Notamacropus eugenii: one gene and its partners. The protein of the gene in region 3 binds, or shares a complex with, the protein of the main gene of each other region. Links are inferred from orthologs where the notes say so. Each region holds a gene or a part of one and is shown on either strand. Other genes may lie near its edges.

Region 1 (7,491 bases), on a different chromosome or scaffold from region 3:
CAACTAAAAATAAAAGTACAGAGGTTTGGGGAAAAAGCATGGGAGGTCAAATTACAAATTAGGCATTTATGGCCATTTGTTGTTTTTTCTAAAACTGCATGGATACAGTCAGTAGATATTTATTCATCACCTACCATGCACAAGGCACTGTGCTAAATATTGGGGATACAAAAAGAAGCAAAAGACAGTCAGTCCCTGGCCTCAAGAAATTCACAATCTAATGGAGAAGACAGGAAACAAACCAAAGTGCACAAACATATGAATAATTAATAATTAAAATAAAAATGCAAAAATAAAAATAGGGTAATTAAAGGCAGGACAGGAGTCTTTTAACATAGTACACATCCTAAATACAAAAATATATTAATGAGACAAATAAACTGGAAGGAAATTAGACACTGAATTTTGGATTAAGCAGAGCTGTCAGCAAAAGAGGATCTACATTAGAAAATTGTGTTTCTTTAGTGATAATCATGCTGGAGACCTAGAATCTATTCTCTGTGACCAAACTCTCCCTTAACTAATAAGACAGGCTCTCTACAGAACCTTGGGTAAGTCAATTCTTTATCTCAGTAGTTCCATCTCTTAAATAGAGGCCTGCTCATCTCATAACCAAGAGATATAATATACTTTGAGGGCTAAATAACTACTTATCAAAATACTCTGGACTTCTCAGAAGCAAAGACCTGTAAATGAATCAATAAATTTGTCAGTTTCTCTTTGCATTATTTTTTCCATCTGGAATGAGGTTATGCAGACCTTTAAGTTTGTAAGGTAACTAGTAATTCTTTATATGGTAATCTAAATACAGTCAGAGTTTGAAGAGGCTTTAAAGATCTCTAACTTTTTACAGTGGAGAAAACCAAAAACCTAAGGCTTAAAAAGTCTAAATGACTTGTCTAAAGTCACGCTAGTTAGAGATGAAAGAGCGATGACCATCCAGGTATCCTGATTCCCCAGTTCAATATACTTGTGTCTTTACCATAGAGAATGTGACATTTTGGTTTTAAGAGACAAAAATTTTTTTTTAATGCTAGAGATCTTTGAATTTCTTTGAAAATACTTTAATGAATAATTTTAATTGAGTCAAAACAAATTAAATAAACAAATCTCACACCCCATTTTTCAAAGTTGGCATATATACCTCCCCAAAACTATATCAGTATGAAGTTCACCCCAAATCTCTAAGGCTGCCCCAAAATCCCTTTCCTTACTGTAAAACTACCAGAGAAACATAGAGTTGTCTATTGTATAAGTGACACAATGAGTCATGGTCTAAAATTTTTGAAGAAAGTCTTCAAATTTAAATTTACTCTTGCCTTTAACACTTGACACTGCCTTAAAAGTTGCTACACCAAGAAACTCAAATGGCTGTTAAATAAGGATTGGGTTTCCATGTTACTCCTGTACTTCTCTGAATAGTCTAATTTTGTTTTTCTGACTCGTTCCTTTACTGTGGGCAGATGTGGGGGCACCTTCACCATACAAAGTGTAAAAGAGCACAACCACGTGCCTCCCTCACACCATTCGTTTCAATGGGAGACTATCAATTCGACCGCACATAACTGGAAAGCTTGAGCCACCTGCCTCAAGTTCCTGATAGATAGTTAGCTGACGTTGCTATAAAAAGCAAACTCGTTGAGGGAAAGAGCTGCAGCATTTTCATTTGTCTATCCCCAGTGACTTAGCTGATTGCCTGGAACATACAAAGTACTAAAGTTTTTTGACTTATTGGTAAAATATAAAATTTACCCTTACGATTTATTCTCATTAACAATAAAGGGCTGTTGCCAACTGACTTCCTGAATTATACTTTTTTTGCACTTAAAGGAAAAAAGATGATGCTTTTAACAACAAGATAGAAGATTTGCAAAGGGCTTTACATGTTATCTCATTTGCCCAAAGGAAGTGGTCTTCAGAAGAAAAAAAATTAGATTATTCGGAGAAGAAATCCTAGCAGGAGAAAGCTACCTGGGTCTTTAGCGCCATTCGGGTTCTTTGGTGGCAAATGCTAAGAATCAATGCCTAGGCACAAAATCTCTCCAATTCTCTCCCCCCATGAATCTTATCCGTGGAGCTAAGATCGCCAACAGGGTCCAGACCAGAATGAAAGCCAGCCCAAGGCTCCCTCCCAGACAAGCTCTAGGTTTATCCGACGGGTCGGCTGTTCTGCCTTCATGCCGCTTCTCAGTGTTAAAACTGGGAGAAACTTTGAGCAATTTCCTTGGCAGGAAGTTGTGCAAATTTGGTGAAACAGATCTCGGGCCAGGCCGCCGAGCACCCGAGCGAGTTTCGGGTGCAGTGAGAGCGAGGATGGCGGAAGGGCGCCCCTTTTTTTCCCACTTCTTTAAGGAGTAAATTCCCCGTACGTGGAAATCCCCCGAAAATGAGAGGGGCGCTAAGGTCGGGGGGCACCTGGGGAGGCTGATAGCGGTCCCCCACCCCAATGGAAGGGGGCTGGGTGCCTCTTCTCCAGGGCACCCTGGGTCTGGAGTGGGGTGAGGGGCACAGGCGTCCCAGCCCGAGACGCCCTGGCACCCCCGCGCCCGCCTCACACGGAGCTTTACCTTGGCGAGCCTCGGGCGCGGTCGCTCCTGCGCTGAGACGGACGGAGGATTCAGCTAGTCCCCTGGCGAGCTAGGGCTGCGAGGTCTGCGGCTGGCTCCCGGGAGGAAGTCGCTCAGTCCTGTCCCCCCGTCCCACCCCCCACCCCGGGAGCCTTTCGGGGGCTTGAAGTGGCAAATTCGCACGTGCGTAAAAACGCGGGCGGCGAGCACAGAGCCCAAGCGCCGGATAGCGGATCGGCAGAGGTGGGGCGCACTTAATCTACACTGGCCCTTCCTCTTTCTCTCTTCTCCGCCTGAGGGGTGCGGGGAGTAGTACGGTTACCCTGGCCTCTGCGGTCGCCCGAGGCTGGACAGTTCCCCTTTCTGGCAAACGGGGCTCCTCGCTCAGGCCCGGTCCACTCTCCGGGCTCCTGGAGCGGAGGCAGGGGACAAGTCACATCCGTGCTCCGAAGTCATTGGGCAACCTCCTCTGCTCTTTACTGGGTTTCCTGCAGCCCTCGAGCTCGGCGCTTCCTCTTTCGGAGTCTCACTGAAGTAAGTTCCCAGCAGAAGTGCCGCCCGACAGCCAGCCAGGGACGCGGAAACTGCGGAGCTTTCTTGGGTGTAGGGGGTTAGACACCCCCCCCCCCAAATTGCAGCGTCTGCTCCCCTTCCCATACCTCCTTATTCCTCCCAAAGCGAAGGATAATAAGAACTAACCTTTGTATAAAACTGTCAAGTTTGCAAAAACACTTTACGCGTATTAACTCATTTGATCCTGGCAATAACTGCCATTATTCCTATTTTACAGTTGGGGAAACTGAGGCCAAGAAAAGACTGGATTTAAACTCAGGTCTTTCCTAATTCCAAGTCCCAAGCACCACCTTGGATCATGTAGTCACCTTCCACAGCCACAGCTAGCAGGCAGGTTAATAATATCTAGTATTTATCCAGTCTTTTAAGGTTTTCAGAGTCAGGTTTTCAGATGCCAGTTTGATACAGTGGGAGGTGGTGGGAGTTTAAATGATTCCCCAGGGTCACAGGTTAGTGGGAGGCAGGGAGGAAGGCAGTGTTTGAGCTTAGGCCTACCTAAGGCCATGTCCAGCCTCTATCCCCTAGCTATGACTGTTAGCCACCCACCTCCTCTCCTTCCTTCCAAGGACCTCCTTATTAGTCTGCACCATCTCCCTACCTCTTCACCCTTGGCACAAGACCTTCCCACATCATCCAGAAAGTGTGCCCAGCCAAAGAGAGATTTTTTTTTTAAAACAACTTTCTCCTCACCTCTAACATTTTTTTCCTTACATTGTTCCTTGTAGGAGCATGAATTTAGAGCAGGAAGGGGACCTTAGAAGTCATTGGATCAATCAATCAAAAAGAGCTTATTAAGTGCTCACTGCCTGCCAAGTATTGTTCTGGCTACTGGAGATACTGATACAAAGAATGAGACCATCCTTATTCTGAAGGTCCTTACATTCCATTAAGAAAGAGATAGGAGCATATGTAAGAATATGCAGACTAAATACAAAGTTGTCAAGGAGGGAAATTGGGAAAGGCATCCTGTAGAAAGTGGTGAAGGTGAGGAAAGAGGGCATTTCAAGCACAGGAAGTGACCAGTGAAAGACATGGAGATGGCAGCAAGAGAAAAACAGTTTGAAATGGATGTTATGGGTGGAGTTATGGGTAGTAAGACTGGCAAAAGTTTGGGGAAAGATTGGGAAGGGCTTTAAAAGCCAAACAAAGGAGTTTATATTTAATTATAGAGACTTTAGATTGGGCTGGGGGGCACATGGTTAAACCTGCAGTTAAGGAATAACATTATGGCAGCCATGGAGAGGCAGCCATTTCAGTAGTATTTGTGGGAACTGATAAGGGTCTGATCTAAGGTAGTAGCTATGCTGCTAGCTAAGTGTACAATTCAAAAAGTGTTGTGGAGGTAGAAATAGAAGGACTTGACAACTGACTGACTGCATGGGGTGAGAGATAGGGAGGAATCAAGGATGATACCAAAGGTACCACCTGGGAGAATGGATGAATGGTGGTTCCTTTGGTAAAAATAGGGACGTCTGGAAGAAAGTTAATTTTTTGAAGGGGATGTTACGAGTTCTATTTTGGAGTTGTTGAGTTTGAGATGTCTCCAGTGTCCAATAGGCTGTGATACCCAATTGAAGCTAGTTCAGAGGAGAGATTGTGGCTGGATATAGACATGAATATATATGTATGCATGCAGGTATGTATGTATATATATATGTATGGACATATATAATTAGGCATGTATACATGTGCATATACATGTATGTGAGTACATATTATATACATGTGTATACATGTATGTGAGTATATATTATATACATGTATATGTGTATATATTATCATCCTCCTGCAGATGACTCGTGCATGTATCTGAAGTCACTGAAAGAATGTAGAGAGAGAAGAGAAGCCCCAGGATAGAACTTTGGGGAGTATCCACAGATAGAGTATTTAATATGGATGGCAAGCTCGCAAAGGATACTGAGAAGTGGTCAGACCAGTAGGAAGACAACCTAAGAGAGAATAATGTCACAAAAACCCAGAGCAAAGTATCTAGGAAGAGAGGGTAATTAATAATGTGTCAGAGAGGTAAAAAACAAAAGAATGAGAAAAAAACACACCAGAATCTGTAATTAAGAAGTCTTTAGTAACATTAAGGAGAGCAGTTTGGGTTAATTAATGACTTCAGAAGCCAGATTGCAAAGAACTGAGGAGTAAAAGAAGAGGAAGTGAAAGAAATTAGTATAGATAGTGTTTCTGGGAAATTTGGCTGAGAAAAGATGGAGAGAAATAAATGATAGCTTGAAGGGATTATAGAGTCTTTTGAAGTTCTTTTACGTTTTGTTTTTTGTCTTTTGGAGGCAACTGGGTTAAGTGACTTGCCCAGGGTCACACAGTTAATAAGTATCTGAGGCTGGATTTGAACTCAGGTTCTCTTGATTACAGGACCTGTGCTCCTAGCTGGTCTTCCTCCTCCTCCTTTGGGCAAAATTTAAAGCAGTACAGAAGGAACCACTAGAAAGGAAAAGACTGAAGATAGGGAAAGAGAAGGGATGGCTAAGGCAACAGTCTTCTGGAAAAAATAAGGGATGGGATCAAGGGTTCATGTGAAGAAATTGACCCTGACCAGAAGAAGGGTCACTTCATCAAAGATTGAGGGAAACAGTGTTATGAAGAAAAGGAAAGAAGAGGGAGCTCATAACAATGACCTGAATGAGAGAGAGCACCTCAGCTGAGAAGAGGGGGAGAAGGGAAGGTGTGGGAGGTTTGAGAGAAGAGAATGTTTGGAATAACTCCTGTGGGGAGTGAGATAATTAAGGAGGAAGAAAAGATTGCCTTGTTGCAGTGAGGTCTCAACAGGAGCTGGATAAAACAAATGTGTAGGATACCCAGTTAGAGTGGTTAGACTTTGATGGATTTAGTGCTCATCCACTTCTGGGTAGAGCCCCTCCTTCTATCCCCATCAAAGTAGCCTTGTTTTATTTCAAGGCAGATTAAGATCAAGGCAGATTAAGAAACATTCATTAAGCACTTACTCTGTGCCAGCCACTGTGCTATGCAGTAGGGCTTGCCTCTATTTAGTCTCAATCACTGAATGCGTGTTGCCTCATGAGACCTGGAAAAGACTTTAACTGGAAAATACCAGGGTCCCCTACTGCATCCTGGGCCATCTCCATCCATCCTGATCTGTATCTGGTCACTGGACCCAGATGGCTCTGGAGGAGAAAGTGAGGCTGCCTCCTCACTTGAATCCAATTCACTTGAGTGTCATGGTACCACCTTCCTGATGTGCTTGGTCCTCTTCAAGAACGAGGGACAAACAAAAACAAACAGTATGCACTAGGGACACTAATACATGCAAAGAGAAGTTCAGTCCTTGCCCTCAAGCCAATTACATTCTAATTTGAGAAGATAACACATGAAAGGAGCTGAAAAGGGGACAGAAGGTGGAGAAGACCTCACCTGGGGCCTGGTGGCAAAGTCTAGAGGAGGAAGGATGGCTGGTCAGGGCCCTTCCTCATAATGAAGTTTCTGTGAGGAACTTACCAATGGGAGGAGGAACCTCAGGGACAGAGGAAAAAGAGGAAAAAGACAGAATCATAGTGGCCAAGTCTGGAGATAGTCTTGACAGGACAGATTTGGAAAACCCACTGTGGAGAAGAATGTGAAGCATTTTAGAACCAGGATCAGTCCTTTTCAGGATTCGAGTATCTCAGATCCAGAATTGCAGAAGGCAGCATTCAGTATCAGTTCTTCTCTGGTATAACCCATACATTTCAGAGCAACAGAACTTTTGTTTAGTACGACTTCCTGCTTCACTCCCACTCAAACTGGAAGGTTGGATCCCCAGAAGATGGACCACTGCTTATCCTCTAAGGGTTCTAGGAATAACTATGAGGGGGTTGTTTCTTAATATCATTGCTCATGAGCCCCCAAGGTTCTAATTTCTCAAAGCACTTATTGCATTGACCCGAATGGAATCTTCTTTCCTAACAGATATGGCATAGGTGTGTATCTAATTTTATTCCACCAATCTCAATATATGTTTTCTGATTTATTACAATGATTGGAAACACTTCACTTACAATTTGACTAACTGCTTTGTTGGAATCTAATTTATTCCTTTGATTGGGTGTTTCACTGATGCTATCTAGGAACTATTCACAATTGTTTTATGTCTTTGATTGATTTTGTAATTCAAAGATATTCTCACTCAGCAGAGACAGGAGTATACTGGGGCCAGCTTAAACTTGCTCAGGAAAGGCTGCTGTTGGTTTTCATTCTGAGCATTTACTCCTGGAAACCTGTAAACACTTTAAATCAGAACTAGATTTATTGTTTTGTTGATTGATTAGACTTCAGAAAGTCATGGAGGAAATGATAATGCAGATTAATCTTGAAAGAATATTATAGG
Region 2 (6,993 bases), on a different chromosome or scaffold from region 3:
AGGTCACAAAAGCTAGGGGATTCACACCCTGCTTTCCGGACTCTAAATTGAATGTTGTTTCTACCACATCATAGTGCCCTGGCATGGGGCTTGGGAAAGAAATTCTTTCTGAATGTATGAAATAACCTCTAAAAAGGCATTCTGGTGTAATGGAAGGTTCACTGGACCCAGAAAACCTGAATTCTAGTCTCATTAGTGCTACTAATTTGCTGTATGACCTTAAGCAGATAAATCCCTCCCCCTTACTTGGGACTGGGATTGTCCATCTGTAAAATGGAGGCAGGGATGGACTGGATGCCCTCTCTGGCTCTGGCACTTTGGACAAAGGATTTTGCAAGAGAGTTGGTATGGGGGGATGTCAGTAAAGGTGACCTAACCTAGCTAGTGGCTTTTTCTAAGGGATCAAAACATTTTGAAGTCATCAGCCTGCATATTAAAGGGGCACCAGTGTGTGTTGGGGGCGGGGAGGGAGAAGAAAGGAAGAACTCCACTGACCACAGTGCTGGCCCTTAAGTGGTCCTGGAAACCACAATCAACTCCTTGGAGCTAGGAATTTTCATCATGAAAGCCTTTAAATCCACCAACAATTCTGAGCATCATGTCTCCTCCCTCCCCAAATCCATCAGCCTGAATAATCCTCCAATCACCCCGGTACCATAACCCTGAGAAACAGCATCTCCTTAGAGAAAGCTCCTTCCCAGGTCAGACTCAGGGAACAGTAAAAGCCTCCTGAACTGAGTGACTCAGCCCATTCAACTCAATTTTAGCGAGTTCATGTAATCTTTGGGTCCAGGCCTATCTAATTTCAGGTTTCTCAACAGTCAGGGCTTGTACTTAATCTTATCAGTCTTCCAATCAGAAGCCCTGTGAACTTCTAAGATAAAATGTTTAACAACATGGAGTTTCTAGTGTCCTGGCAAGACTTGGGCTTTTCTGGCTTGTGTCAAAGAAAGAATTACAGGTGGAAGATGAAGCCTGGAAAGGAAAGGACCTTGCTTACTGCTTTGCAACCTGACTAGTGCCCACACTGTTCAATGAAACTAGCAAGCAAGGAACGTCTTGTGGGGCCCTTATGAGCTGTCACACACTTTTTTTTTTTTTTAGCAGATTAACAATAACAATTTACATTTCTATATCACTCCAAGATTTACAAAGCAAAATGACTTTGGGTAAATACCAATCCCATATTACAGACAGCACAACTAAGGCTCAGCAAAAAAGGAGAATATTGATTCAAACCCAGGTCTCAGTCCAATTCCAGAAATCTTTTCACTTCAAAACTAAACTAGTTCATTTTCCAAGTAAACAAATATTTCAACGGGGTGAACACTGTGGAAGAAATATGACTGCCCATATCTTTTGAGTCCCCTACATTTTCGTAACTTGCAGGCATAACAACAGTCCAACCCTATTGGTCAATTACTATTTGAGAAAATGAGATATACTGTCTTTATTTTGAGAGTCACTAAACGTGGAAAGAAGATGACTAAAAGAGGTTTCTTTGGGAGGGGCTTCCAGAAATCCAGAATTTTCCTATTCCAAAGCTTCAGATCTCAGCTACTTCATCAGGAAGTAAGACTCCCTCTGCAAAACTCCTGCCTATCTTCCCTTGAGGAAGAAGGCAGGATCCTACCTTCACCCACCACCCCATTCACCGTAGGAAAGATCAGCAGCCAGGGGATGGATAAATAGGTTCTCTCTCCCCTTCTCTCTCCTACGCATAATGCCAGCTGCATCCCTCACATTAAGCTTGAGGAGATAAAGGGTGCATTGGGAGTAGTGGCTGGAGTTTAAGCAATACTAGGAGGTAAGAATTCCCTACCTACCCCTCAACCAATTCTTAGCCCTAGAAGGGATTTTGGGATATTCTAATCTAGAAACTGCTCCCCATCACCCTCATTTTACAGACGGGAAGCGAAGGCCCACAAGGGCTAGCAACTCACCCTGCTTTTCAAAGGTTTACAAAGTGCTTTTCTCACATCAGCCCTGTCTGTGACAGGCGATGTAAGTATTATTAAGCCTATTTTATGGATGGAGAAAACTGGTCCAGAGATAAAGCGATTTGCCCGCTCTCGGCCAAGCAGTGGGCCAAGAAGCAGGGAAGGATCTGGAACACAAGCCTCCTGCTCTCCATCCGTCTGCGCTGGCCAAAAAGGTGACAGAGACAGGGGCCTGGACTAAATGACCCGGAAGGTTCCTTGCCCTCGGGTGCCCCCGGTCCCCACCCGCTCCGGCTCCCCGTCCTCTCCCCGAGGAGCACTGGCATGTCAGGACCCCAGGGGGACCGGTCGGGAAGGGAAGGCTGAGGACCGAGAGGAACACCCACCCGGGGAGGGGCGGTTCCGCCGTGGGGCCGGCAGGGAGGGGAAGTCACGGGGTGATGCCTCGGTCAGTTCCATCCCATTGAGCCTCGGGTGGGGAAAAAGAGGCCGGAATCTCCCTTTTTCCTGCCCACCCCCACCGGCAACACTGGGAAATGGGGCACTGCCTGCAGCCCCCCGCGGCGGAGAGGAAGCGAAGGCTCGGGTCCCCAAGAGCTCCCGGCTTTCTGGACCCAAGGGCCGGTTCGGTGAAGCAGCCAGGATGGGGTCGGGGGGTCGAGGCGGCGGCCGGCTCCATCCGGGAGGGCTGGGCGGGGAGCGAAGGGGCGGCCCGCACCATCAGGGCGGGGGCGGGGGGGCGCGCGAGGGGGCGGCCGGCACCATCGGGACGGGGGCGGGGGGGTGCGAAGGGGCGGCCGGCACCACCGAGGCGGGCGGGGGGGAGGGGAGCGAGGAGGGCGAGGAGCCGGAGACCGTTACCTGTCGCCGAGGGCGCCGCCGCCCCGCTCTCCACAGCCCATCCTGCCTCCGGAGGAACGGCCCCCGCCTCGGCTCTCTCCGCCTCGTCCGGCACCTCCAGCTCCATCGCCGCTGACGGGCCCGAGGCGAGGCGGGGGCCGGCGGGGGGAAAGCCCCGCCAGGCCCAGCCGGCTCCTCGGCTGAGGGAAGGGAGCTGCCGCCGCCGCCGCCGCCGCCGCGGAACAACAACCGCCGGGAGGGAGAGTCCGGACTGACAAGGGGAGAGGGAGGGAGCGACGGGGGAAGGGGGAGGGAGGGAAGGGAGGGAAGGGATGGGAGGGGGGAAGAGAGGGAGTGGGGAGGGAGGGGGCGGGGCCACGGCCGTGCCTGGTCACGCGCCCTCTCTCCCTGCCAACCGGGGAAGAGATTGGGAGTGGGGAGGGGGCGGGTTGACGTCTTCACGCCGAGGCTGGGAGAGCGCCTCCCCGGGGCGAGCTGGTGGAAGGGCAGCCGCAGGGTCGTACCGAGTGACCCAGGCGGTCCAGGAGGCGGGCGTGGGAAGGAGCCCGAGTCCCCCACGTCCCCAACACATGCCACCCAGGTACCATCATCATCCTACGAATGATGACGGTGATGAAGATAACCAGCGCTTCCACGCGGCGACCCCAAAGGCTCGGTGCTGGCTGGCAAAGCTTGTGAATTAAGTAGTGCAAACTGCTGCTTTCTGCTTGACAGCGCTTTGAAGTTTTCAAAGCTTTTCACAGGTCCCATCTCCTCCTTATCAACACAGCCACCTTGGGAGGGAGGGAGGTGTTCTCATCTCCGTTTTACAGAAGAGGAAGTTGAGGCAGAGAGAAGTCATACGACTTGCCCAGGGTCACACAGCTAGTGATGGTCAGAAGCCAAATTGGAGCTCCAAGCACAGGGGACCACTACATCCAGGGGCAGCTCATTGCCTTTCTTTAAGCTGTGGACATCAAGCATGCTCCTTTCTCCTTCCCACTTCCATCCCCGCTTCTAGAAGCAAGCCCAACGTCTCCTCCATGTGACAGCTAGCTCTTCAGGTACTTGAAGGCAGCTTGGTCCAGACTTGGTCCTCTGGGGAGTCTTCTCTAGGATAAAGGACCCTAGTTCCTTCAGGTAGTCATCATGGCATGAAGGTCACCATCCTATTTGCTTTTCTCTAGATGTCCTTCAAGTGACTTTCTAAAAGGATGTGGCCAGGTTATACATGATACTCCTGAGGTGGTCCGATCTTGGTATAACCCAGAGACATTGTCACTGACTAGTCCTGAATGGTAGACCTTTTTTATTTGCAGTCTAAAGTCAGATTTTTATTTTTTGGCTGCCATTCGACTCACATATGGAACTCTCAATTAACTGAACCCCCTCCTCCCTGTCTTTTTTCAGATGTATTTCTGTCTAACCATGCCTCCCTACAAAGATTATTTTTAAAAATGCAAGCATATGACTTCACGTTGACATTTAGGAAATTGTCTTTTCAATTGAATTGATTGTATTCTTAAAATATTTCTCAAATTATTCCTAAAACCTAATTCTAGGATATTAAAATTATCACTCTCTAATATTAATATATCTTTCTATCAATTTACTTAAACTTATGTACTTAACCCTAAACCATACAAATTTCTGAATCCTATTACTTTCTCTAAAACTCAACACTGATCCCTTGCCTTGATCCTAAAAGGACATACCATTCCTTTCAGTAGGCCTATTCTAAACTTGAATCCATATTCCAGTCTAGCTCTACCTTTGTCCCACAAAAAAAACCCTATCCTTATCTTCTCTTAATCTTTGTTACATAATAATTACTTAATCTTAATCTCTACACTGAGTGTATATGTATCTATATGTATAGGGATATAGTAATAGGTAAAACTATAAATAAATGAAATTGATTTTTTTTAAAGTAGGGGAGTAAAGAAGGAAAAAAATGAGATAAAATCTAGAACTAGGCACAACTTAATTTGTGAGCACCATAAAGGAAGATTCCTTATGAAAAAAGAATCAGGGGCAAAGGGAGAAAAAGCAACTATCATTTGAACTAGATTTTGAATAATAAATAAGTGGAAGGAAGGAAGGAAAGAAAGAAGGAAGGAAGAAGTTCCTGAAACTGAAGTAAAGTACTAAAAATTCTAGGTGCTAGGTATTTTTTTTAAGTGTAATCTAGGATTATTGAGGCCATGTTCTGAATAAAATAAGCAATTTACCTATATAGTAAGGTAAAAAGAGAGGTAAAGCAAGGAAGGAACTGCCCAAGAGATCAGTAGAGAACCACTAAAGAGAATGGATGTCAGATAAGGAAGCAGGAGACCTCTGGCAGAGGTCTTTGATCACATATGGAGGTGGTCAGTGGAAGGTCTTGAGCAGGATGTACAATTAGATGGTGAGAAATGTAAAAGAAACGAGAAAAAGATAATAAAAGAACTCTAGAAAAAGACTCTAGTAGGTCATAGCGAGATTAAGACCCAAATAGACTGAGAAGCAATTAGATTCAGCTCAGCATTCTGGCCCAGCAGGATCTTTTGGGATCCTGACATGTGTTATCTATTTCAGCTTTGTGTCATCTGTACATTTGAGAAGCATGCCATCAGTGTCTTTGTCCAAGTCATGGATAAAAATGTTGGACAACCCAGGGCTCAACCTGCTACTTGTTAGCTCTGTGATCTTGGATACGATGAAATGAGTTTGGACTGTGTGATCACTGAGGATCCTTCCAACCTAGATCTTACAAGTATTTTTGTTTAACAAGAGTCTGGAATATTCACAGACCTCAAAAGTTTACTCTGCTATCCATGTGGACAATGCTGGAGAGAGGCCTGATGACTTGTAGGGGAAGTGTCGTGGAGGGGCAGTGGCTCATGCATGATCCTAGAACTAGTTCTGGTCAGCTAACCACTTAGTGAATGGGATTTTTTTTGATCGTGGCTTCAGTCATCCCTCTACTTCAGACTTTTTGGCTATTATCTTGGTGGAGTGGCTCCACCCATTGAGTCTGATGAAGCAAAAAGAGTCTCCAAGACTGGGAGTTTCAAAAGATCAGAAGAGGAAGCCACCAGACTCTAGAAGTCTGAGTCCAGGCTAGGTTTTACAGCCAGTGCAGTGTCATGTTCTGAGGAGTGACCTATGGGAATAACACTGAACGCAATACAACAACTCTTATACTCTACACCCTTCTTCCCTCTGATACTGCCACTACGCTTGTGAAGGAATTCATAATCTCATACCTGAACTATGGAAATACCCTTTTGGTTTATCTCTCTGCCTCAAGTCTCTCCCCACTCCAATTCATCCTTCACTCAGCTGTCAAATTGATCATCTTTATTTTTAACATTCATTAAAAAAAAATGTTCCAAAATTCCAGATTCTCTCCCTCCCTCTCTTACTCTACCCATGGAAAAGTCAAGCAAGGATAGCAATTATGTATGTGAAATCATGCAAAACCATATTAGCCATATTGCAAATAAATAAAAAGCAAGAAAAAGAGTGAAAAATATTCTTCAATCTACACTCAGTTCATCAGATCTCTTTCTGGAGGAGAACAACTTTTTCCATCATGAATCCTTTGGAATTGTCTTAGATTATTGTATTGATCAGAGTAGCTAAATCTTTCGCATTTGTTACAATATTGCTATTCCTATTTACAATATTCTCTGAGTTTTGCTCATTTCACTTTGCATTAGCTCATGTAAGTCTTCCCAGGTTTTTCTGAAAGCTTCTTGCTTGTCATTTCTTATAGCACAAGGGTATTCCATTGAAATCATGTACCACAACTTGTTCAACCGTTTCCCAAATGATGGGCATCCCCTCAATTTCCAATTCTTTACCACCACAAAAAAGAGCTACTATAAATATTTCTGTACACATAGGGTCTTTTTTCCTTTTCTTTGATTTCCTTGGGATACAGATCTAATAGTGCTATTCCTGGGTCAAAGGGTATGAACAGTTTTATAGCCCTTTGTGCATAGTTCCAAATTGTTCTTTAGAATAATTAGACCATTTTACAACTCCACCAGCAGTGCACTATAGTACACATTTTTCCACATCCCCTCCAGCATTTATCATTTTTCTTTTCTGATGTCAGCTAATCTGATAGATATGGTAGCTCAAAGTTGTTTCGTTTTGCATTTCTCTAATCTGCAGTGATTTAGAACATTTTTTCATGTGGCTATTGATAGTTTTGATTTCTTCT
Region 3 (7,650 bases):
ACCATGATCCTAAGCCTGAGTTCAGAATTTAATCCCTGAACTTCAATACTGATTCTGATCTGATCATTGACTCACTCTTACCCTGACCCTTAATCCTAAACCTTTGGACTTATTTCTAGCCTAGTCCAAATAGCTAACTCTCTTTCTGATTCCTAACCATTTAAATCTAATGCTAACCTATGACTAACCAAAACATTCAACCCAATTCCTGAACCCTAATGCTGACTCTGAAAAAAATCACTGACCTTTAACTCTCATCTCCTTAACATTAACGACTTCAAACACTGACCCTAAGTGGAAAATCATTATTTAGTAGATATTCCCAATGGCCTACCAATGATGCCTGAACCAATCACTGACTACTGACGTCTATCCTTAACCCTTACTCACATCCTTTCATCCTAACAATGATCCCAATTTTTGGATCCCTGATCAAATCTAAACTCTATTTGGCATTTAGAGTTTTTACCTTTTCAGTCTTTTCTCTGTGAACTCTACCACGCAGCTAGCCTGGTCTCCTAGCTGTTCTCCAGTTTCCTTGCCTTTTCACTGGTTGTTCCCCAAGCCTGGAATGCTCTATCTGCTTACCTCCAACTCTTAAGTTTTCTCTATTTTCTTCAAAATTCAGCTCAAATTCCATTTTGTGGTGTAGGCCTTTCCAGATTCCCCTAGCTGCTAGTAATCTCCCCTCTCAGAGGTCTTCCTACTCACTCTATATATCTTCTTTAGGTACTTATTTCATGAAGCTTCCTCCTCAGAATGTAAGCTCCTTGAGGGCAGGAACTAGATTTTCTTTTTTGCATTTCTTTGTATTTTTCATTGCACAAAGTCTGGCACACAGCAAGCACTTATCAAGTGCTAGTTGACTCATGGTTGGCTAACCGCCCTCCACAAACACCAATGCCATTCCTAATCCCTGAAGCCTAATTTGATTCTTGGAAGATAAATTCATCCGTAATGCAGACCCGAAACTCAAGTGCTACCCCTGACTTTTAATTTGATTCCTGACTAACCCTTTCCAATTCTAAACCTATGATCCTACAATCCCCAACACTGACCCACAAACTAATCCTGACTATCCAAACCTGTGAATCCTGATGCTATCCCTAATATTAGCCGTAACTTGCCCTCTGTATTCTAACAGTGATCTAAAAAACAAAAATCCTGAGTGTAGAGCTTGCCTATTTGTCATGAGCCTAAATCTTAACCAGGTTGCCCTGATTTCCTTCAAGCCTCAGCTCAAATCCCACCTGCTTGCCCTCTCACTGCACAATGCCTCGCTCTGAGATTATCCTCCATCACTCCGCACTATTTTGCCCGCACACAGACGTCTGCACGCTGTCTCCCCTATCATACTTCGAGCTCCTTTCGGGCGGGGACGCTGTTTTCGCCTTTTTCTGTGCCTCCAGGGCTTGTCACAGCACCCGGCAAGAAGAAGCGCTTCCATACTTGTCGCCCCACAATCTCAATAACCAGTAAGGGCCAGCACATCTCTCCTGTTATCCTCAGGACACCTCCAACGTCCATCGGATACTCGGCTCCAAATTCCAACCCCATTTAACTCGAACTTCCCCCAAACCTGGGGCGCACCTGAGCCTGCATCTCCGAACCTACCCGGCCAACGCCAAACCCAGGCACGCCATCCCGGCTCCGGACCCCGCAGCCCGGACCAGCGAACACCCTCCCACCCGGCCTTGGAGCCCTCCCGATCTGCCCCACCCCACCCCGCTAAGCCCAGCCGGGTCCCCCGTCCTGGCCCGCCTCACCTCCCCCGTCCCCACGATCCGCTCCCCCCTATTCCCGAACCCCAGCTTTACAGCCCAGGCCCGTCAGCCTCGCCCCGCTACCCCATAACTGTCGCCCCCCAGCATCCCGGGTACCACAACTCCGCCCGCCAAGCAGCTGGACAAGCAGGATGGACACACCCGGACCCTGACCTCTCGGGCCAAGGAGGGAGCCGGCGGCGGCGCCCACCCTGACCGCCCTGGCTGCGGACCGAGGCTGCGGCCTCCGCTCGACCCCTGCCTTCCCCCCTCCCCCTCCCCCCCCCCACCCTCCGCCGCGGCCGGGCCCCCTCCCCCGGATCCAGTCCCCTCCCCCCGCCCGGCCCTGCCCCTTCCCGCCGCCGTCCCGTCCTTCCTGGTCCCGCCCCGCGCTCGGCACCGCCTCGGCCCTACCTGGGCCGTGCGGGGACCTCTCGCTCGTTGGCCCGCCCTCCAGGTCACTCACTCGTTCGCTCTCCAGGTTCCCGGGTCCGGGGTCCGGCCTCGCCCTCCCGCCGACTGACGAACTCTCCGCCACTTCCGTCCCCGGAGCGCGTCCCCCCCACCCGTGGGCGGCGCCCTGGGCCCGCCCCTCTACGGCCCTGGCTGCTGCAGGAAGCTGCTCTGGCCCCCGCTCTCTATGCCTGGGAGCCGGCCCGGAGACCCGGGCAACTTCCCCTGCAGCGAGGGCGGCGCATGCGCGGCGCGGGCCGCGGCTCCGTTACCGCGCGCAGCCTAGCGGACCCGAGGCGCACTCCGCCCCGTCTCGCTGTGCTGCGGGCTGCTCTGGCGGGGGGGCGGGGCCTCCCTGGCGGGGGGGCGGGGCCCGGGAGGCGCGCCCCGCGGGAAGCCCGCCTCTCGCCCCCTCCTCAGCCCCAGACCCGCGGAGAGCCCGGCGGACGAAAGCGGACCCACCTGTTTCCCCGAGACTTCCCGGCCTGACCGAGCCCCTCCGTCTGCAGGGCATGTGTCATGTGTGAGTCTCCCCAGCAGACCCGGGAGCTCCCCCTTCCGCCCTCCGCCCCAGGGAAGGGCCCCGCCTGCCCTCTGATGCTCGTGGGGGTCGCTCACGCCCTTCGCGTGGGCTCGGGAAAGTTGGGGACACGCGCGGACAGGGAGGCCAGCGGGAAGCCCCTGTGTGTGTGTGACAGAGGCAGGGAGGGGCGCTCTCAGCGGTCTGCGAAGGGCGTGCGTGGGTGGTCACGGGGACAGCGAACACGTCGTCACTCACACCTTTGTAAACCACCTCGAAAGTACCTGACCGCCGATTCACGTCGCGACCGCACTTTCTGTTGGTGCAGAGGTGAGGGGCCACGGGTGCGGAACGTGGTGTTTGCTCCCCGCCTGTGTTCAATGGAGGGGGCTGGTGGCTGTCAGGAAACGAAAGGCATCAATAAAACCTAAACGAACAAAGAAAACTCATTGCGTGTGCACAGAGCGGGACCGATCGACCTCAGGAACGGAAAGCCTGGCGAGGGGTACGAGGCTCGGGGATACATGACAGCAGTCGGAGTGCGGGCTACATCCGGGCGGGCGTGGGGGAACTACATCTCCCAGCATGCCGCGGCCTTCTGGCTGACGTCATTTTTGTGGTGTTGGAAGGCTGGAGCTGGGTCGGGTTTGGGAGAGGCTGTCCGGGCTGGGGAGAGACGGCCCGAGGGGAAGTAGAACCCCAAATTTGGCCAGTTCGCGTAGAGGTGGAAGGGAGCAGACGAGGGGTGGGGTTGGAAACCTGGCCGAGGAGGCGGAGAAGTGGCCATTCCAGCCCTCCAGGGTAGGTGGGAGGGCGTGCCGGTGCTCTCTGCTTTGGGGGGCGGGGTGTGTGTGTGTGGGGGGGGGGGGCTGGGGCCGGGGCAGGGCCGGGCCGACCCTGGCCCTCTGCTTCCAACGTCCCCCCTCTGGGGCTCTATGATGGGGGGCCGGAGAGAACAGACAGAGCTCCTCCATGGCAGGGACGGCTTTTGCTTTTCTTTGTATTCTCTGTGCTCGGCATATTGTAAGGGCTTAATATGAATGTTGACTGACCGCCTTTCACCTTCTACCCTTTGGAGGGGAAAAGAGGATCAGGATGCGGATGGTGATTCCTTCTCCTTCTTCTAGATGTCCACCATGGAGCCTGTCCTGGACCCAGGTGACAACGACCTGCTGGATTTCCTGAAGGAGGAAGGGGGAGATCTATGGGAAATCCTTGGGGAGAGGGAAGAGGACCAGCAGGATGATGGGATGCTGCCTCCTGAGGTGAGTAGGGGCTGGGCCAGGCTTAGCCTTGGTTGGGGTAATGGTGGTGCTATAAATGAAGAGGAGAGATTCCAAGGAGAGTTGGGACAGGAAGCTGGGAGGAGAGGAGCAAGGCCTGCTTCTGAACTAAGTGGCTGTATAGGTGCTGAATGAGTGGGAAGCAGAAGAATTCCTGATGTCTCTGCTGGGACCCCCCACCTCACCATCCCTCCCAAGTCCTCCTAGCTACAGCTTCATTCACACTGATCACACTTACTCTCTGAGCTGGAATGTACAAGGTTCCTCCCAAGATGATGTCTACATTGACCTGGGTAAGCTGGGAAAGGGGAATCATGTATGCGGGTAGGTAGTGACTGGGAAGGCAGAAAGAGGATTCTGAGGGAGGGACATGGAAAGGGGGATGAAACTAGGAGCCCAGGGCTCTTGGTTCTAATTATTTTCCTCCTGCAGATGATGATGGTCTCAGAGATGTGGCTCAAGAATCAAGGGTCTCCTTGCAGATGGAAGAAATGACACTGCAGGTATCTGGAGGAGGGGCAAACATTAATAGTAAGGGGGAGATGATCACCTCTGATAATATCAGGATGCTTTGATCAACCCCACACTTCTCTCTCCTCAAGCTCCAGATGTCTTCTTCCCACTTTATTTACTCCTTGGTCCCTCCCTGTCACATGTCATTTTCCTGTTTTCTCCAGCACGAGTTTCCTCAGTTGATACTGACAGATGAAGAGAAGAGGCTGCTACAGAAAGAAGGGTTGACCCTTCCTGAGACTCTCCCCCTTACTAAGGTGAGACTCCTTCATGGTCACGGGTATCATGCCTGGTACCATTTGAGGATGGCCATAAAAGGTCTGCTTTTCAAATTTATGGGCAACAAACCTGGGATAGCTAATGTTCCAGATGTCCGAATCACATTTCAAAATACCTCAACAGAAACAACGTGCCCAAGCTAATATGATTAAACTTAGAAATGGCAACTCCAAGTAAGTTCAAGAGGACAATTGCACAAATATAGGAAAGGGGGAGATGTTTCTTAACAATTGCTGTGAAAAAGACTTGATGATTTTAGCTGATTGCTTCAATATGAAACAGCACGGTGAAGTGGTTTCTAAAAAAAAAACTAAGACATTCTGGGAAGCATTAATAAAAGTATAGTATCCTCCAAAAGGAAGCACAGCGCCTGGAGCATAGTGAACACTTTATAAATGCTTGTTGATGAATAGGGTGGCTATAGCATTTGCTGTTAAACTGAATCTAAAAGTGATGATCAGTACGTATGAATGAAAGAATGATTAAATAAGTGCTGGAGGTACAAATGGAAGATGGCCCCTGCTTTCGAGAAATTCACCTTTTGAATAGAGGAGACAACACATACGGAAGCTTTCAGCTGCTAGTCAGATGGAAAAATCCCATGGTTAGGCTGAGTCATTATGGGTTTATTAAGAATATGATGACCAGACTAGACTCATTTCCTTTGATGGGTAGATCAGAATAATGATTTGGACACGATATCTAGATTTCAGCATGGCATTTGATAGCCTTTTAGATAAGGTGGGGAGATAGAACCAGATACAATAGTACAGATAGGTAAATTTGGAATGAACTCAGCTTGGAGGGAAAACTCCAGTGGAGTGCTCGGATGCTGTCTCCTTGGCCTTTTTGTTCAATATCGTGAAGGCACAGATGACCTCTTGACAAAATTTTCAGTGATGGAGGGATAGCTAATATTATTAGCAGGGGGCTAGTCTTTAGATCAATAACCTAAATAGTTTCAGCAGGCCTAGTTTAAGATGATGAAATTTAATAGAAATAAATGTAGTCTTACACTTGGGCTCAAAGAAATCAACCTCGTGAATTTAGGATGGGAGATATATAAAATAGTTGTTTGTCCTTCGTTCTCAAAGAGGACCATGACATCAAGATGATGACATGACTTGCACTTGACTTTGATTTGAGTGAGGGAGGGCTGGGCAAGGTCACCAGCCTCACTTTCTTCTCCTGAGTCATCTGGGTCCAGTGACCAGATATTCATCAGGATGACTGGAGATGGCTCAGAATGCAGTGTGAGACCTTGACCTTTTTAAGCCAAGGTCTTATCACATTCTCACTCTGAGTGAGATACACCCATTCAATGAATAGGCCTCTGACATAAAATAGTAGTTTACGTGAAAAGGACTTGGGTATTTTAGCAAGCTCAATGTAAGTCAAAAGTGTGACAAATCAGAAAAAAAAAAGCCAGTGATCCAAAGTTGCATTATTAGTCCTCATGTCCTTTTGCCCTGACCAGGGCACATTTAGAAGACATCATCTTCAGATCTAAGAACCATAGTTTAGGAAGGCCATTGGGAAGCTGGTGTGTGTATAGATGAATAACAGCTTGTCTTTACACATTTGGACAGTCATTAGCTGGAGGGATTCTTTTTTGTTCTTGGTCCCAGGCAATAGAATTAAACCAACAGATGACATTTACCAGATTCTGATTTAAGTTAAGAACTTTCTAATGGTATATTGTCCAAATGTAGTACAAGCTGCTTTGAGAGTTAGTATGTCCTGTCATGTCTTCAAAGATTGGATGTCCCATTTATTCGGAGTGTGGCAGAGAAAATCTGTGCTTCAGGTAGGAGCTTAAATAGATGATGTAAACCAGGGGTGAGGAACCTCTGGCCTCAAGCTCCCTAGGTCCTCAAGTGCAGCCCTTTGACTGAATTCAAACTTCACAAAACAAATCCCCTTAATAAAAGGATTTGTTCTGTGAAACTCGGACTCTGTCAAAATGCTGCACCTAAAGACCAAGTAGACCACATGTGGCCTAGAGGCTACAGGTTCCCCGCCCCAATGTAAACCTTTCTTATGCTAGGCTTTATGGAATATTATGTTCAGTTCTGGATGCCATATTTTAAAGACATGAATGAGTACAAAATCAATAAGGTGACATGGAAACCATGTCATGAGAACATTTAAAGAGGTTTATAGTCTGGAAATGAGATTTGATTATTTTAAGATGTCTGAAGATAACTCACATAGAACAATTCTTATCCTATGTAGTCCCAAAACTCAGAACTGAGACTGGTGGATAGAAATTAAAAGGAGGCAGAGTTTTTTACATTGTTAGATTTTTGGCTTAATGACAGTTGAAAGAGTTTTGAGGTAGAGGTTTTTTTTTTTGTTTTTTTTAAACACTAGACAAAGCATTAGAGCAAAGGTTTAGATGATTAGGGATTCCTACACCGGTTGAGTTGAACTAAGTCATATCTGAATTACTTTTCAAGACCAAAATTCTGTTACTGATGGATTCTCTCCTTCCTTGTTCCAATCTCTGACTCAGGCAGAGGAGCGAGCCTTGAAACAAGTTCGGAGAAAGATTCGGAACAAACAATCTGCTCAAGAAAGTAGAAGGAAGAAGAAAGTGTATGTGGGAGGGCTAGAAAGTAGGTATGTCAGGGGCTGGGGAAAGGAGAGAAGAGGATGGATGGGGAGGGGATGTCATATTAAAAGGGGGAGATGACTGAGGACATGCTGTTTCCATGGTTATTCCAGGGTCTTGGCTTGCACAGCCCAGAACCTGGAGTTACAGAAGAAAGTGCAGCTCTTGGAGAAGCAGAATTTGTAAGTAACCACAGAACAATTGGTGCCTCAGTTGCCTTATCCT

Evidence for each region.
Region 1: the proteins of TLN1 (region 3) and APBB1IP are in contact, whole or in part, in a crystal structure (PDB 4W8P), measured with the Mus musculus proteins. The link is inferred for Notamacropus eugenii from reciprocal best matches to the Homo sapiens genes TLN1 and APBB1IP. Residues at the interface, in NP_035732.2 of Mus musculus: Leu1492, Ala1495, Thr1496, Val1498, Ala1499, Thr1502, Ser1503, Cys1506, Asn1507, Arg1510, Val1526, Ala1529, Lys1530, Ala1533, Asn1534, Thr1536, Ala1537, Val1540, Ile1543, Lys1544, Asp1547; in NP_062329.2 of Mus musculus: Asn5, Ile8, Asp9, Met11, Phe12, Thr14, Leu15, Glu18, Met19, Leu21, Leu22, Ser25.
Region 2: the proteins of TLN1 (region 3) and PIP5K1C are in contact, whole or in part, in a crystal structure (PDB 1Y19), measured with the Mus musculus proteins. The link is inferred for Notamacropus eugenii from reciprocal best matches to the Homo sapiens genes TLN1 and PIP5K1C. Residues at the interface, in NP_035732.2 of Mus musculus: Pro209, Val210, Gln211, Leu212, Leu214; in NP_032870.2 of Mus musculus: Pro646, Leu647, His648, Tyr649, Ser650, Ala651.

The regions. Positions count from the first base shown.
Region 1 is NC_092874.1:67,270,486-67,277,976, reverse strand, and holds the start of APBB1IP (amyloid beta A4 precursor protein-binding family B member 1-interacting protein), read right to left. Parts: upstream 3,095-7,491; 5' UTR 2,890-3,094; exon of another isoform or gene 2,568-2,889; intron 1-2,567. UniProt on the Homo sapiens protein: Appears to function in the signal transduction from Ras activation to actin cytoskeletal remodeling. Suppresses insulin-induced promoter activities through AP1 and SRE. Mediates Rap1-induced adhesion.
Region 2 is NC_092875.1:54,375,569-54,382,561, reverse strand, and holds the start of PIP5K1C (phosphatidylinositol 4-phosphate 5-kinase type-1 gamma), read right to left. Parts: upstream 3,103-6,993; 5' UTR 2,908-3,102; coding exon 2,802-2,907; intron 1-2,801. UniProt on the Homo sapiens protein: Catalyzes the phosphorylation of phosphatidylinositol 4-phosphate (PtdIns(4)P/PI4P) to form phosphatidylinositol 4,5-bisphosphate (PtdIns(4,5)P2/PIP2), a lipid second messenger that regulates several cellular processes such as signal transduction, vesicle trafficking, actin cytoskeleton dynamics, cell adhesion, and cell motility.
Region 3 is NC_092872.1:79,292,730-79,300,379, forward strand, and holds the start of TLN1 (talin-1), read right to left. Parts: upstream 3,071-7,650; 5' UTR 3,021-3,070; intron 2,740-3,020; exon of another isoform or gene 2,178-2,739; intron 2,047-2,177; exon of another isoform or gene 1,926-2,046; intron 1,904-1,925; exon of another isoform or gene 1,881-1,903; intron 1-1,880. Other genes in the region: CREB3 (cyclic AMP-responsive element-binding protein 3), read left to right, coding at 3,709-3,759, 3,864-4,001, 4,144-4,312, 4,452-4,522, 4,697-4,789, 7,327-7,433, 7,539-7,607. UniProt on the Homo sapiens protein: High molecular weight cytoskeletal protein concentrated at regions of cell-matrix and cell-cell contacts. Involved in connections of major cytoskeletal structures to the plasma membrane.